Drosophila melanogaster: one gene and its partner. The protein of the gene in region 1 interacts with the protein of each later gene in a pairwise test. Each region holds a gene or a part of one and is shown on either strand. Other genes may lie near its edges. The genes, in order: Cks85A and Skp2.

Region 1 (6,006 bases):
TAAAGTACACACATGGTCTAGACTTTTAACTGGGCTTAATTATGTTGTTCTCCGCCTTTTGAATATTGGTATGAACTACTAAACGCTGACTCTTAGTGGTAATGAATTTTTTTAATGGCCTTTCGGCCATTTGTTTTTCATGATTTTGATGCTGACTAGATTTTGTGAGACATTCCACTGATTTTTTTACAATTCTTTTTAAGATTCGAGCTATCTGTGAACTATTATAAATTATTATTTCCACACATCAAATTTGTTTTTCGGCTGTTTTTCGATATTTTTCTTTTTACAAAAAAATTTTCATCTTAAAATTGTGAAAATTATTCAAGTTTTAGGTTTTGCTTGTTGTCTTATATTGGTTCCAATTGATGCTTAAATGTTAACAATTTTTGTATATAAAACCGTTAAATATATGTATATAAGAGTGTGTGTATGTTATCATAAACCTTACTATACATAATTATTAATATGCTACATATGTGTTTTGTTTTGTTTTTTTTTTCTTTCTGTTTGGTTTCTCTTCTCCACGGCCATGAGCAATTCAGCTGCCTACTGCTTTTCAAATTCATTAAATTTCCTTACACCGCATATTATCCTTTTTCGATCTTATAGATTGCTAAACTTTCGCATGTATATTTGCTGCTAGTTGGCTGTTGGATGTTTCTGTCTATATGGCTAATCATAAGTTACTGGACGACACAGCGAGAAAACGAAGACGATGGCATACCACACCTCGGTCAGGTAAAGGGCGATCTGCAGCGTGCACAGGCAGTACTCCAGGCGCAGTCGGTAGGTCTGGAGCAGCAGTAGATAGGAGACGCCCACAAAGCAGGGGGCGGTCATGAAGACCGACAGTATGGCCGACCAGCCTGTGATAGAAAAGCAGAAGAGTTCATTAGAATCTGATTGTAAAAGCCATAGATACTATTCTATTACAATTATAAATAAGGATGATAATGAGTTAATTAGTATTTCTTAAGTCTAATGGTTTGGTTTGATTAAACGATTGATAACGCCATTGAGGATGATTCTATTGTTTTAGAATATCCTATAATTAGACCAGCCAGCAGGCGGGAGCTTCTACCTCGATCGGCCAGCGAACTCATGCGCCCCATTATCAATCGGATCGTCTCAAAGACAATGAAGCTAATCATCACCCCCGTGTCCAGGGCTAGAGTATGTCCCGTGTAGCTGAGATTGATGGCCTTCAGGAGGCCCATGGCCATCTCGCAACAGGCGAACATGCCAAAGTAGAACGAGTTGAGGTAGATCAACACCTCGTAGTTCATGCTGGGATTTGGCTTCTTCGGCACGAGCGGTGGCGGACGCTTGGGCGGCATCTTTCTGCCGGCTTAGCACCTCCTTCTGCTGCTTCTCCTGTTACCCCTCGATGTCTACGGCAAATTGGACCGATTTGATCTCCCGGATCGCTCACACGGCGGCGTTGCTCACGTTGGGCACTGTATTTATAGACTGACCATAATAATAACGCGAACCTGCCGTGCTTGGCCAATGCAGCGGCAGCGGCATCGACATCGGCGGTCTCACGGTTTGTCGCTGCGAAATGTGCTGTTTATTTGAATAATGTGCTGCTGGTCGTTGTCGCCTTTTATTTGTTTTCTCTGCTCGCTGTTTGGGTCAGCATTGGCCGGCAGATCGCCTGCCTAGAAATGTGGGGGAGAATGATTTCACTGGCGGCTAGTTGGGGGGAAAAAACTACTAAAAACTCCCTGGGCGTTATGCTCTACAGGGCCCAGGGCCATTAAATGGTTACCTTGAAATTCAGGATAGGTTTAGGGTGAATATATGAAAACCATTGTTGGAATTTTAATTATTTTTAAAAACTCAAAGCGTTATGCCTCGCTAAAGTCCCGTGAATCTCTCTCCTGTGAATCGTACAGGGCATGTTCACTAGACCAAAGACCAAACGGAGAGCCCTCTCATCTTGGCCATTACAGTCAGGCTAACTTGCCCGCAGTGGGCCGTGTATATTACATTCAAATTAGAAGTGTACATTGCACCTAGGGGACAGCAGCGGTGTTGCACGAGCCGTGCAGTTCGCATATAATTTTAGACCATCAGAGCCGTATAAAAATACCAGAACCGAGCGGGTCCGAGGAGCAACTGCGCCAGCAGGGAGGCAACGCCACAAAGGCCGGGCAAAAGAATGCAACCAAGAAATGCAAATTAAATGCAGCTTTGCTTTTGATAGAATCGGACGCGTCGTGTTTCGCTGCGATGTGATTTCCGCGGGCGCGAATGATCTGTGCGGATTATATAAGTTTATAAAGGTTCACGTACCTTGTTGAAAGTCCTCCTCAACTGCCAGCCATTGGGTATGTTATCGGGTTGTCTTGGCACGGATTCCTAGGAGGTCTAGTAGGATCTAGATTTTTTGTTTTGTTTTTATGTGCGGTGGCTTAGTGTGCATTTAAGTGGCTTAGTTTTGAGGCCTTGGCGAATCGTTTGATGTGAAATTGCCAGAGGAAAGTGTTTCGTCTTCGTCGTAGTCGTCGCTCGGCTGTGGATGCTTCTACTCCTTCTCCTCCAGGTGGGAGTGTTAGTGCTGGCTTGGTCTTGATCTCGATCTTGGTCGTTGACGTGGCGGCGGCAACGCGGCTTATCAACTGCTAGGTGTATGTGACGGGGCGACACATTGTACAAATGAATATGCTGGCGTAGACTAGTTCAGCACCTTGTAGGGTGATCATTAAGGCACTCAGAATAATTTCGAGTTTGAGAACAAAGGTTTGAAAACAACACAAGTAGATAACAATAGCAAGACTGGGCAGTGTTAATATTACGGATGCGGTTGCTTGCCAGCCTGCAAAGAGAGAAAAACAAGGAAAATGTTAGCTACAGATGCACGGAAAATCGTATAGTTCGTCTACTTGTTTATAATTAAGTGTATTCGATTGAAAGTGATTCAGTGTTTTAAAGTATTATACTAATAATTTCATGTTTACACATTGCGATAATTAATATTAACAGCTCCAATTGCTTTTCCAATAACTCATTTCGATGATTCGCTTTGATAGATTTCCTTTGCATATTGCTTAATGTGCCAGAAGGGCGCCTTTCCCCTGCCACCATAAAACGCGTGTTTTCATCCGGGGTGATGACCATAATTACGCATACGCCGAGTGGGCTACATCATACATATATGTATGTATGCCCGTCCAAACGTTTATGGGTTATGGCCCCGGAGGTAGGGGGATGGCATGAAATGGGCATTGTGACCGGGCAAACAAATAATTTCGCCATGTCATCATCGCTGCCGGTGGACTTTTCCCACCCTTGCAGTAACATGGGGATCATGGGGATTACTCACCACGATCGCTTAGACTGCTCTTCCGCCCGAAGACAATGCGCACGGTCTCGATGATGCACAGTGAGAGCAGGATGCTGGCCTCCCGGGACAACGCGTTCTCGCCGTAGTTTAGATTAATCGCCTTAAGAACGCCCACGCCCACTTCGAAGGCGGCGTACATGCCAAAGTAGAACGAGTTCAGATACATAAGTATCTCATAGATGAGGCTGGCGTTCATGGTGCCCGCTACTGCGGAAACGAGTCCGTAACCGTTGCCGTATCCGTGTCCTCCTGCGTGGCGACCAGTTCCTCAAGGCGGCAGGTGCGTCGCCTCTAAATGATTGGATGTCACCTGGGCAGTTTGGAGCAGCTCCTCCCGCTTTTCCACTGGCAGCAGCAGGTGTTTCGGCTTCTCTACGCCAGCATTGGGACCTTTGGGCGGTACGTGGTGAGTGATACCTGCTGGACTGAAAAATATTTGCTAATTGCGGTCTGCTCGTATTTACCAATGCGCGCATACATACAGTCAAACTTCCTCAACTAGAACTTCATAAAATCAATCGAATTTATAGGTGGTTTTGCTGTGCCTATGTATCTACATATGTACATTGTATGCATTTATTTACTAGCATACCGTAACGGTAAATTCATTAAGCGACAATAGGGAGTACATATACATAAAGGTTTTAGGTTCTTAGAACCCATTTTCTTCATCACTAAAGGACACTTTTTATTGTAGTAGTAAAGTCGTATCTACTTATGGAAGTTTGACTGTATTTACGTATCGTCCTCACCTCTTCCACTGCTTTTTCTTCTTGTTCCCGTTCTACTTCGCCTTTCCTCTTCTTCTAGCTGCTCCACCGTTACTGTCTAAAGTCCCGTTGTCATGGGAGTAAGTGGATGTTATGTTATGTATATGAAATGCACGCAGGCGACAACTCTATGCTAATATTAAGTACATGCGTTCACGTTTATTTATACGCGTTGTTGTGCGTTGTTGTTGCCCGCTGGCCTGGCTGGTTGTTGTTGTTGTTGGTTTGTTGGCAAGAGACGAGGGGCTTATATAAAAAGGAAAGGAACCTCAAACGCACATGCACAAATGTGGCCATGGGCGAGTAACGGAGAAATTGCCGATTGCATTTGGAAAATGTGCGAGCCTGCGAGTTCCGGTCACACTGGAAATCACATATTATCCAATTGAGTTTTTCATTCGCTAAATATGTTAACATTTTCTAACAGCATCTTTTTACAAAGTACTCGTTTTTTTAACAAAATGGCTTTAAAATGGCTTTAAACATTGCAAAAATATTGTTATACAGAAAAAAGTTTATGTTCAATATATTAAAGCCCGCTAAGATCGTGCCATTAAAAACAGTACATTTGAGTTTACCGCCAAAGGTGCTGTTAACTGGACAGCTGATAACCAAATCGATAACTTTATGTTCGATACGTGCAGCGATAACAATAGTATTTAGAATCGAATCAGTTGTGGCATATCTATCTGAATTTATTGACCTATTTTGGTAAAATTGCTTAATTTACCTCAGGTTTTCTGGCTTTTCGCAATGCCGGCCGATCAAATTCAATACTCAGAGAAGTACTTCGACGACAACTTTGAATACAGGTACGTTCAACTTGCGTTTCAGCATCCGTGAACTGTTTGTTTACACACAAACCACTTTCCCTCCCTGCAGGCATGTTATCTTGCCACCGGATTTGGCCAAACATGTGCCGAAGGCTCATCTGATGACCGAGACGGAGTGGCGCAACCTGGGCGTGCAGCAGAGCCCCGGCTGGGTGCACTACATGGTCCACGCGCCGGAGCCGCATGTGATTCTATTCCGACGCAAACGCATTCCGGCAGAGGACGCTCCACAGGTGGCAGCCGCTAATGCGGCTCAGGCCATCGCGAATCTCTGCGGTTAGGCGGAGGATGCCATGCCGCCGAGGAATGCTCTTCCAAGGACGCACTCGTCAATGCTCACGTAGTATTTCATAAGTTAGCATCAGGCAGCCTGATGTAAAATAAGAAACCATAGCTTTAGGGTTCAGCTGGGAAGTTCAAAGACACGAAACGAACTGAAGACATCGTTTCTGTTAATTTCATTAAGTTTATTTACCTAAAATACAAATCGAAGCGTACGCCCTGTGTACAGACAGTTTAAAAGTAGTGTTTAACTAATTGACTAATTGTAGCAGCGCCATACCGCCGGCAGCAGGCGATACGTCCAACTCTCGTTGCTTAGGTTGCAGTTCTTTAGGGCGTAATGCTCCATGGCGTATAGTGAGATCAGCGTGGCATTTCCCAGGATCAGAGAGAACCACAGAAAGATGTTGCCCATCACTTTTGGAGCACTCCGCATTAGGAATACCAAGGCAACACCCACGACCCCAAAGAAGAAGAACATCACTGGGAAGAACATTTGCAGGGCAAAGCCGAGAACCTGCTCATGGACCACAGCGGAGATCATGAACACTGCCAGCGAGGCGGCCACCTTGGAACCTCGGAACACATGAGTGTACATATCCTTGTACACGTACTCGTACAGCCAGTCGTGCACGACGACATTCCAGTTTCTGTAGTAGCCATCGTAAGTGTGCGACGTCCACCAGTCCTTGTAGAACATTCGATCACCGAAGCGTAGCAGCTCCGACGTGAAGTTCAGCCACGAGTGCAGGATTAGGTAGAAGCCGCA
Region 2 (5,427 bases), 4.4 Mb from region 1:
GTACTTGAGCCACTGAGATTACTAGGTGTCGCTGCTCGTACGTTTGCCAAGCAACTTCGTAGAGGTTCATTTGGGAATCCTTCTCGCCTTCCTTAGTACAGCATTATGGCGGTCTTGTTTTTATCGTCACATGGCGCCTCCAGGCATTGGCGGTTGCGGAGGCCGAGTCGCTGGGCGTACAACAGGATGGCGATATTCAGCAGCACAACGACGGTGGATACCACGACCAGGTAAAAGCTGTAACCAAGATAAGCCAGTCCATTGCTGTACCAGTGCTGCTGCTGCTGCTCAGTTAAAAGAACGTTGTGTATGAAATATTGGTAGAACTGCACGAGCCAAGCTACAAACGCCACTATTTGCGCCCCCGCGGCGCATATGTTGGAAGTCAGGAGCAGCATCATTGTGCCTCCTTTTTTGGCCGCAGAGGCTGACTTTAGGACAGCGGCGATGGCAGCCACAGCGCAGGCCAGCAGTGCGAAACCGGTGCCCAAGGTAGTAAGTAGCCAGAGCCAGAAGCTAGTGTCGTCATTTTCTGTCCGAACAAAGGTATACACTGAAAATACGGTGTGAAATAACAAAAGTTAAACAGGATTGCTTTAAAAATTTTATATTTTATTTGCATCTCCAAAAGCTGTTAAGCTTCCACGACGTTTTTATTCTATGTTGCATATTTGTGGCTCGCAATATAATACCCTTGCAATTTTAAAAATTGTAAACCCCAAATTTCAACCATATTATATAAAAGCAAGTAAAATATGGTTCCCTATGTCCTCGCTTCTATTATATTTTTTGCGCCAAAAATTTCAATATTTTTCAATTTTGTTAAATAGAATGTAACTTCCCTTTAGCCCTAAAGTTTGTTGTGTCACTTGATTATTAATAAGAAAAACAAAAACAATTTTGGTTTTTACAATTTAATTTTTAAGCATATCCTTAGGATCTGCAAGATAAATAAATGTAATCGAAAAGTATACATAATGGTTAATTTTTGGATATGTCTGCACTGATCATGAGTATTATTCGGGTATTTAATTTTATCAACTCGCCCGATTATGTTTGTGATCTTCACAACTAAACAAATTTAAAAGTAAATCTATTTTTAACAACAGTCTTATCCAGGACAATATCGGTTTTCAACTAATACATGCCCCAATAATCAGCACATTTTCCTAATCGTATATTCATTCAGAAAGCGTCCCAAGAAGTTTAAAGAGGCTAATTCACGATGCAGGTAATGAGAAGATCACTCTCTATCTAGTTTTCCCTGCTATCTAGGCTACTTTGATTGCTCACCATCAACCGAATTTGTGCGGACTCCGAATCCGGGATTCAGGTGGTAGTTGCCGAAGAAGAGTCCGAAGTTGAATTCACCCTTGGCGTCCGACGAGTTCTTGCGGCGTGGAGTGGCCCGCACCCAGTGATTAGTGGTCATGCTGACGAGCAAGAGGCCAATAGCCAGGCAGCTGCCAAAGAAGGTGGAGAACACTAACGCCCGTGTGTGCAAGCTCATCTTGATAATGCTCATGGAAGACCGGTGGCATATGTAGAAGGCTATGCTGTTTTCACCATTAAGAAATGTCTAGGGCCCGACTCCAGCTGCAGCGAAGAAAGTTAGTAGGAAACGTTAGTAAGCGGAGGACGCAATGCCAGTGGCCTTGCAGCGTATTGCTTACCCTTTTATGACTATGTCGGCGGGATCAATTGCAAATATAGTCTTTGTTCGCGGAACAAAAGATTGTTGCACAGGTAAACAATTAATATAAACTGTCTTGCCCTTGTTTTTTTCTCAGAAGAGAAGACTGAGCGGATATTTTTTCTCAAAGAGTACGGTAGCATTAATTTGGGATTTGGTCTGGCAACCACGGCCCGTCTAGTATATTCGATAACGATACAATTCTCATACCAAAATGGCTCGACAACCCTGGTTCCATGCAAAAATAGCGCGAAGTTTTTGTGTTTACGGCGGTGAAAAAATAGATTTCGTGTAAATATGAGCAGTCGCAAGCACAGAGGCTCCGAAAACATGGAAAATTTGTGCCCGGTGACCAGGTGAGTTTTCCTTTGCTTGGGGTGTGGGTTCAAGCAGCAGACCACTGAACTGGTCGCGTGACGTCACACGCGCCACAAGTGTCCAAAAGAGGTCAAGAAAGTAACTTATTGAATTGCAGGGTTCTTGACCCTTTCTTTCATCAGCCATTCTGCTGATGAAGCACGATCGAACTGCACACTTTTAATAAATTTTCGACTATTGCAGAAAGCGCTCGACTAATAAGAACCACGTCTCTGTTGTGGGCGCTCTAGTTTCCACTACGAAGTCATCGCACTACGAGCACCCTTCCTCGCCCTCGGCACTAACTTTTGAGGCCCTAGAAGAGATGGGAATCGGAATGCTTGATTCCGAAGAAAGCAGCTCCTCAGCCCTCTCGGCCATCGCTTTGGCGGTTAGCGCCACCAGCGACGACAACTCAAATGAGACGACCCCGTGCGCCAGTGTGTCGCGCATGGCGCACCAGCTACAGCACACGCAACGGCTAAGTCTGGGCTCTACGGGGGACATCACACTGGATAGCCCAGCTGTGGAGGATTCACTGTCGATGTCCCGTCAATCGGCCGAGAAGCTGCAGATTCTGGCGCAGGCTAAGCGCTCGTCGTTGGGTTCTGAAGGTAGCGGCAATTCAAACTCGCCCAGCAAACGTTTGCGCAACCCCCTGGCTGCAGTCACCTGTAACAACCAGATTGATGGGACTGCTTCGCTCAATTTTCAGCCATCAACCAGCAGGTTGGCGCAAGTTCGCCAGGCAAAAAAGCCCTCGACAACAAATATTACAACCCGAATAGTGGCAGCGGACAGTTTCTTTGTGTTTCGCACCCCGGCCATGAGTGCCCACATCAACAGCGGCATAAACTACTTTGAAAGACTTTCAGACGAAATACTACTTGACATCTTTAAGTGGCTCCCGAAGAAGACGCTGCTGCGCATGGCTACCGTTTGTCGACGCTTTAACCGCTGCTCTCGCGATGAGACTTTGTGGACAAGGCTAGATTTGGGTTTGCGGACAATTAGACCAGGTGCCCTCGAGCAAATTGTACGGCGGGGAGTCCTTGTAATACGTCTGGCCCAGACTAGTGTAAGTTACATCTAACATTATGTTTTCGGGAAACAAGAGCATCTAATCTTTGAACTGTAGATCCAGGAGCCCGCATTTGCACCATATACAGAAGTGTTTAGGACCCGATTACAATATCTTGACCTGAGTATGGCTTCCATCACCCGAAGCTCACTGCTGACACTATTGTCCCACTGCCGCCAGCTAAAGAAAATAAGCTTAGAGAATATTGAGCTCGATGATGACATCTGTGCAGAGATCGCAAAGAATGAAGCTTTGGAGGCGGTCAATCTGACTATGGCTAGTGGCCTGACGTCCAACAGTGTTCGCCTGATGATGGAGTCACTTACCAGCCTAAGCAGCTTAAACATATCGTGGACTGACCTAAGTGCGGATGCTGTTACGGCGTTGGTTACCCACATTTCCCCCAACTTAATTCGGCTCAATATCGCTGGCTGCCGCCGCGTTTTGTTTGACTCGCGTAAGTAGTTCCCACCGTCTTCAATGATATATTTCCTTTTTGATTTGAATTTAATTTGTTTAGATGTTGCAACCCTGCAAAAACGGTGTCCTCAGTTGTTGGAGCTTGATCTATCTGATTGCAATAGTCTAACACCAACAGTCATTACTGCAATTATGAAGTTCAAGATGCTGGAATATTTGTCCGTCTCCCGATGCTATCTTATTCCAGCAACCAAATTTATGTAAGATTTTTCCAGCAAGCGTCTGATTAATCCCTACCCAGTCATTTTCCTTGCAGTGAACTTAAGAGTATGCCCTCGCTAACCTATTTAGACATATTTGGGATGCTGTCGGACACTGCAATGGAAGTCCTTGAGAAACAACTGCCAAAAATGGGTATAAACAAATTCATTCACAGTTCGGTATCCCGCCCGACTGTTGGCACGCGACGCACCTCCATTTGGGGTCTGCGCACGCGCGACTAAGTCTCGACTCTGCTGCTTCCGTTACCATTTGAATTTGTTTTGCTGCGTAAGCCACCCGTAACGCAGTTATTTTATTCTCAATTCAACAACATAAATAATCACATTTAGCTGTTCTTATTTTTGTGCGTTTGGTCACTGATCCGCTTCGCTAAGGGGCTCCACTGGTTTCTCCCATTCCCATTCCTCCCAGTTGACGCAGTTCTTGAGACTATCCATGAATCCTGTTTCGCTGGGGCACTTGATTTCAATGGCTGGTTTGTTAAGTGTCTCACACTTCCAATACGATGTGGCATCCCAATTGTTGCGGAAAACTACAATGTCTAGCTCGGCTTGGGTCTTGCAACCCGGCTGTCCGTCACCATCATAGGCGAGGGCAATGCCAAAAGAAATCACTAGTAGGGAGGTTAGAGCGAGCTGAACCTTCATCTTTCAAAAAATGTTCTATGGTCTACTGGAAGTACTCGAAGCCTTTTATAGTTACATAGTTGCAGCGGTATAGTATCCAAGTGCAGCTACTACCAGAAAATGCTTTTATAAATTGGCATTAATGTAAACACTCGAGAGAGGAAGGAAAAGATAACAGTACTTGCCCTTGACTCCAATCTGTTCAAACTAAAAAAGGTACAATGAGTCACCCAATTTTCCATTTAAAAATTCATTGTTTTTATACTATATTAAATATTTAAGAAAATAAACAAAAAATATGTCTTTTATCAAGGAAAGCATAATCAAGCCAATTCAAAACAAAATCATATAGGGAAACGACAAATATAAATATTTTCGATCTAGTTCGTAATCATAGGTTCAAGAACAAAGTTCGTATTGGACAGCCTGCCAAATTTAAAGATTCAGCAATATAAAAGTAACTAAAGCAAGAGAGAAGGCTATGGTCGAGTTCCTCGACTATCAGATACCCGTCACCCGTGGCAACATGGGTCAACTAACTTGCGCTGGGTATTTGTCTCTAGAATCTGTATGCTTAATCTCAACCTTCTAGCTTTTATAGTTCCTGAGATCTCGACTTTCATACGGACAGACGTACATGGCCAGATCGGCTATTGATCCTGGTCAAGAATATATGTACTTCATATGGTCGGGAACGCTTCCTTCTGCCTGTTTCAACGAATCTAGTATACTCTATTACTCTACGAGTAACGGGTAGAAATATAAAATTGAAACTATTTTGAGTCATCCCTCCAATTGGTAATTTTTTTATATATTAACGGAAATTTAAAGTGCGTTACAAAAGTAAAAATTCTTTTGGTGCTAGTATGCTTAACGGGGTGGACATTTCGGCGTTTTCCACACTTCTTGGGAAATCACTTTAGACAAATTTGTACCAATGTCGGTACTTAATAGTATTTAACTATAAC

What was found.
Region 2: the proteins of Cks85A (region 1) and Skp2 interact in a two-hybrid assay, tested with the Drosophila melanogaster proteins (2 studies listed by BioGRID).

The regions. Positions count from the first base shown.
Region 1 is NT_033777.3:8,714,667-8,720,672, reverse strand, and holds Cks85A (Cyclin-dependent kinase subunit 85A), read left to right. Parts: upstream 1-2,216; 5' UTR 2,217-2,336; exon of another isoform or gene 2,337-2,630; coding exon of another isoform or gene 2,631-2,824; intron 2,825-3,331; coding exon of another isoform or gene 3,332-3,548; exon of another isoform or gene 3,549-3,777; intron 3,778-4,104; exon of another isoform or gene 4,105-4,430; intron 4,431-4,793; exon of another isoform or gene 4,794-4,857; 5' UTR 4,858-4,875; coding exon 4,876-4,934; intron 4,935-5,004; coding exon 5,005-5,236; 3' UTR 5,237-5,473; downstream 5,474-6,006. Other genes in the region: CG11760 (uncharacterized protein), read right to left, coding at 676-869, 1,085-1,340; TMEM216 (transmembrane protein 216), read right to left, coding at 2,631-2,824, 3,332-3,548; CG8112 (uncharacterized protein), read right to left, coding at 5,497-6,006.
Region 2 is NT_033777.3:4,334,170-4,339,596, reverse strand, and holds Skp2 (S-phase kinase-associated protein 2), read left to right. Parts: upstream 1-1,922; 5' UTR 1,923-1,990; coding exon 1,991-2,049; intron 2,050-2,254; coding exon 2,255-3,128; intron 3,129-3,188; coding exon 3,189-3,588; intron 3,589-3,651; coding exon 3,652-3,811; intron 3,812-3,867; coding exon 3,868-4,054; 3' UTR 4,055-4,186; coding exon of another isoform or gene 4,187-4,480; 3' UTR 4,481-4,718; downstream 4,719-5,427. Other genes in the region: CG1103 (uncharacterized protein), read right to left, coding at 93-553, 1,294-1,525; CG14645 (uncharacterized protein), read right to left, coding at 4,187-4,480.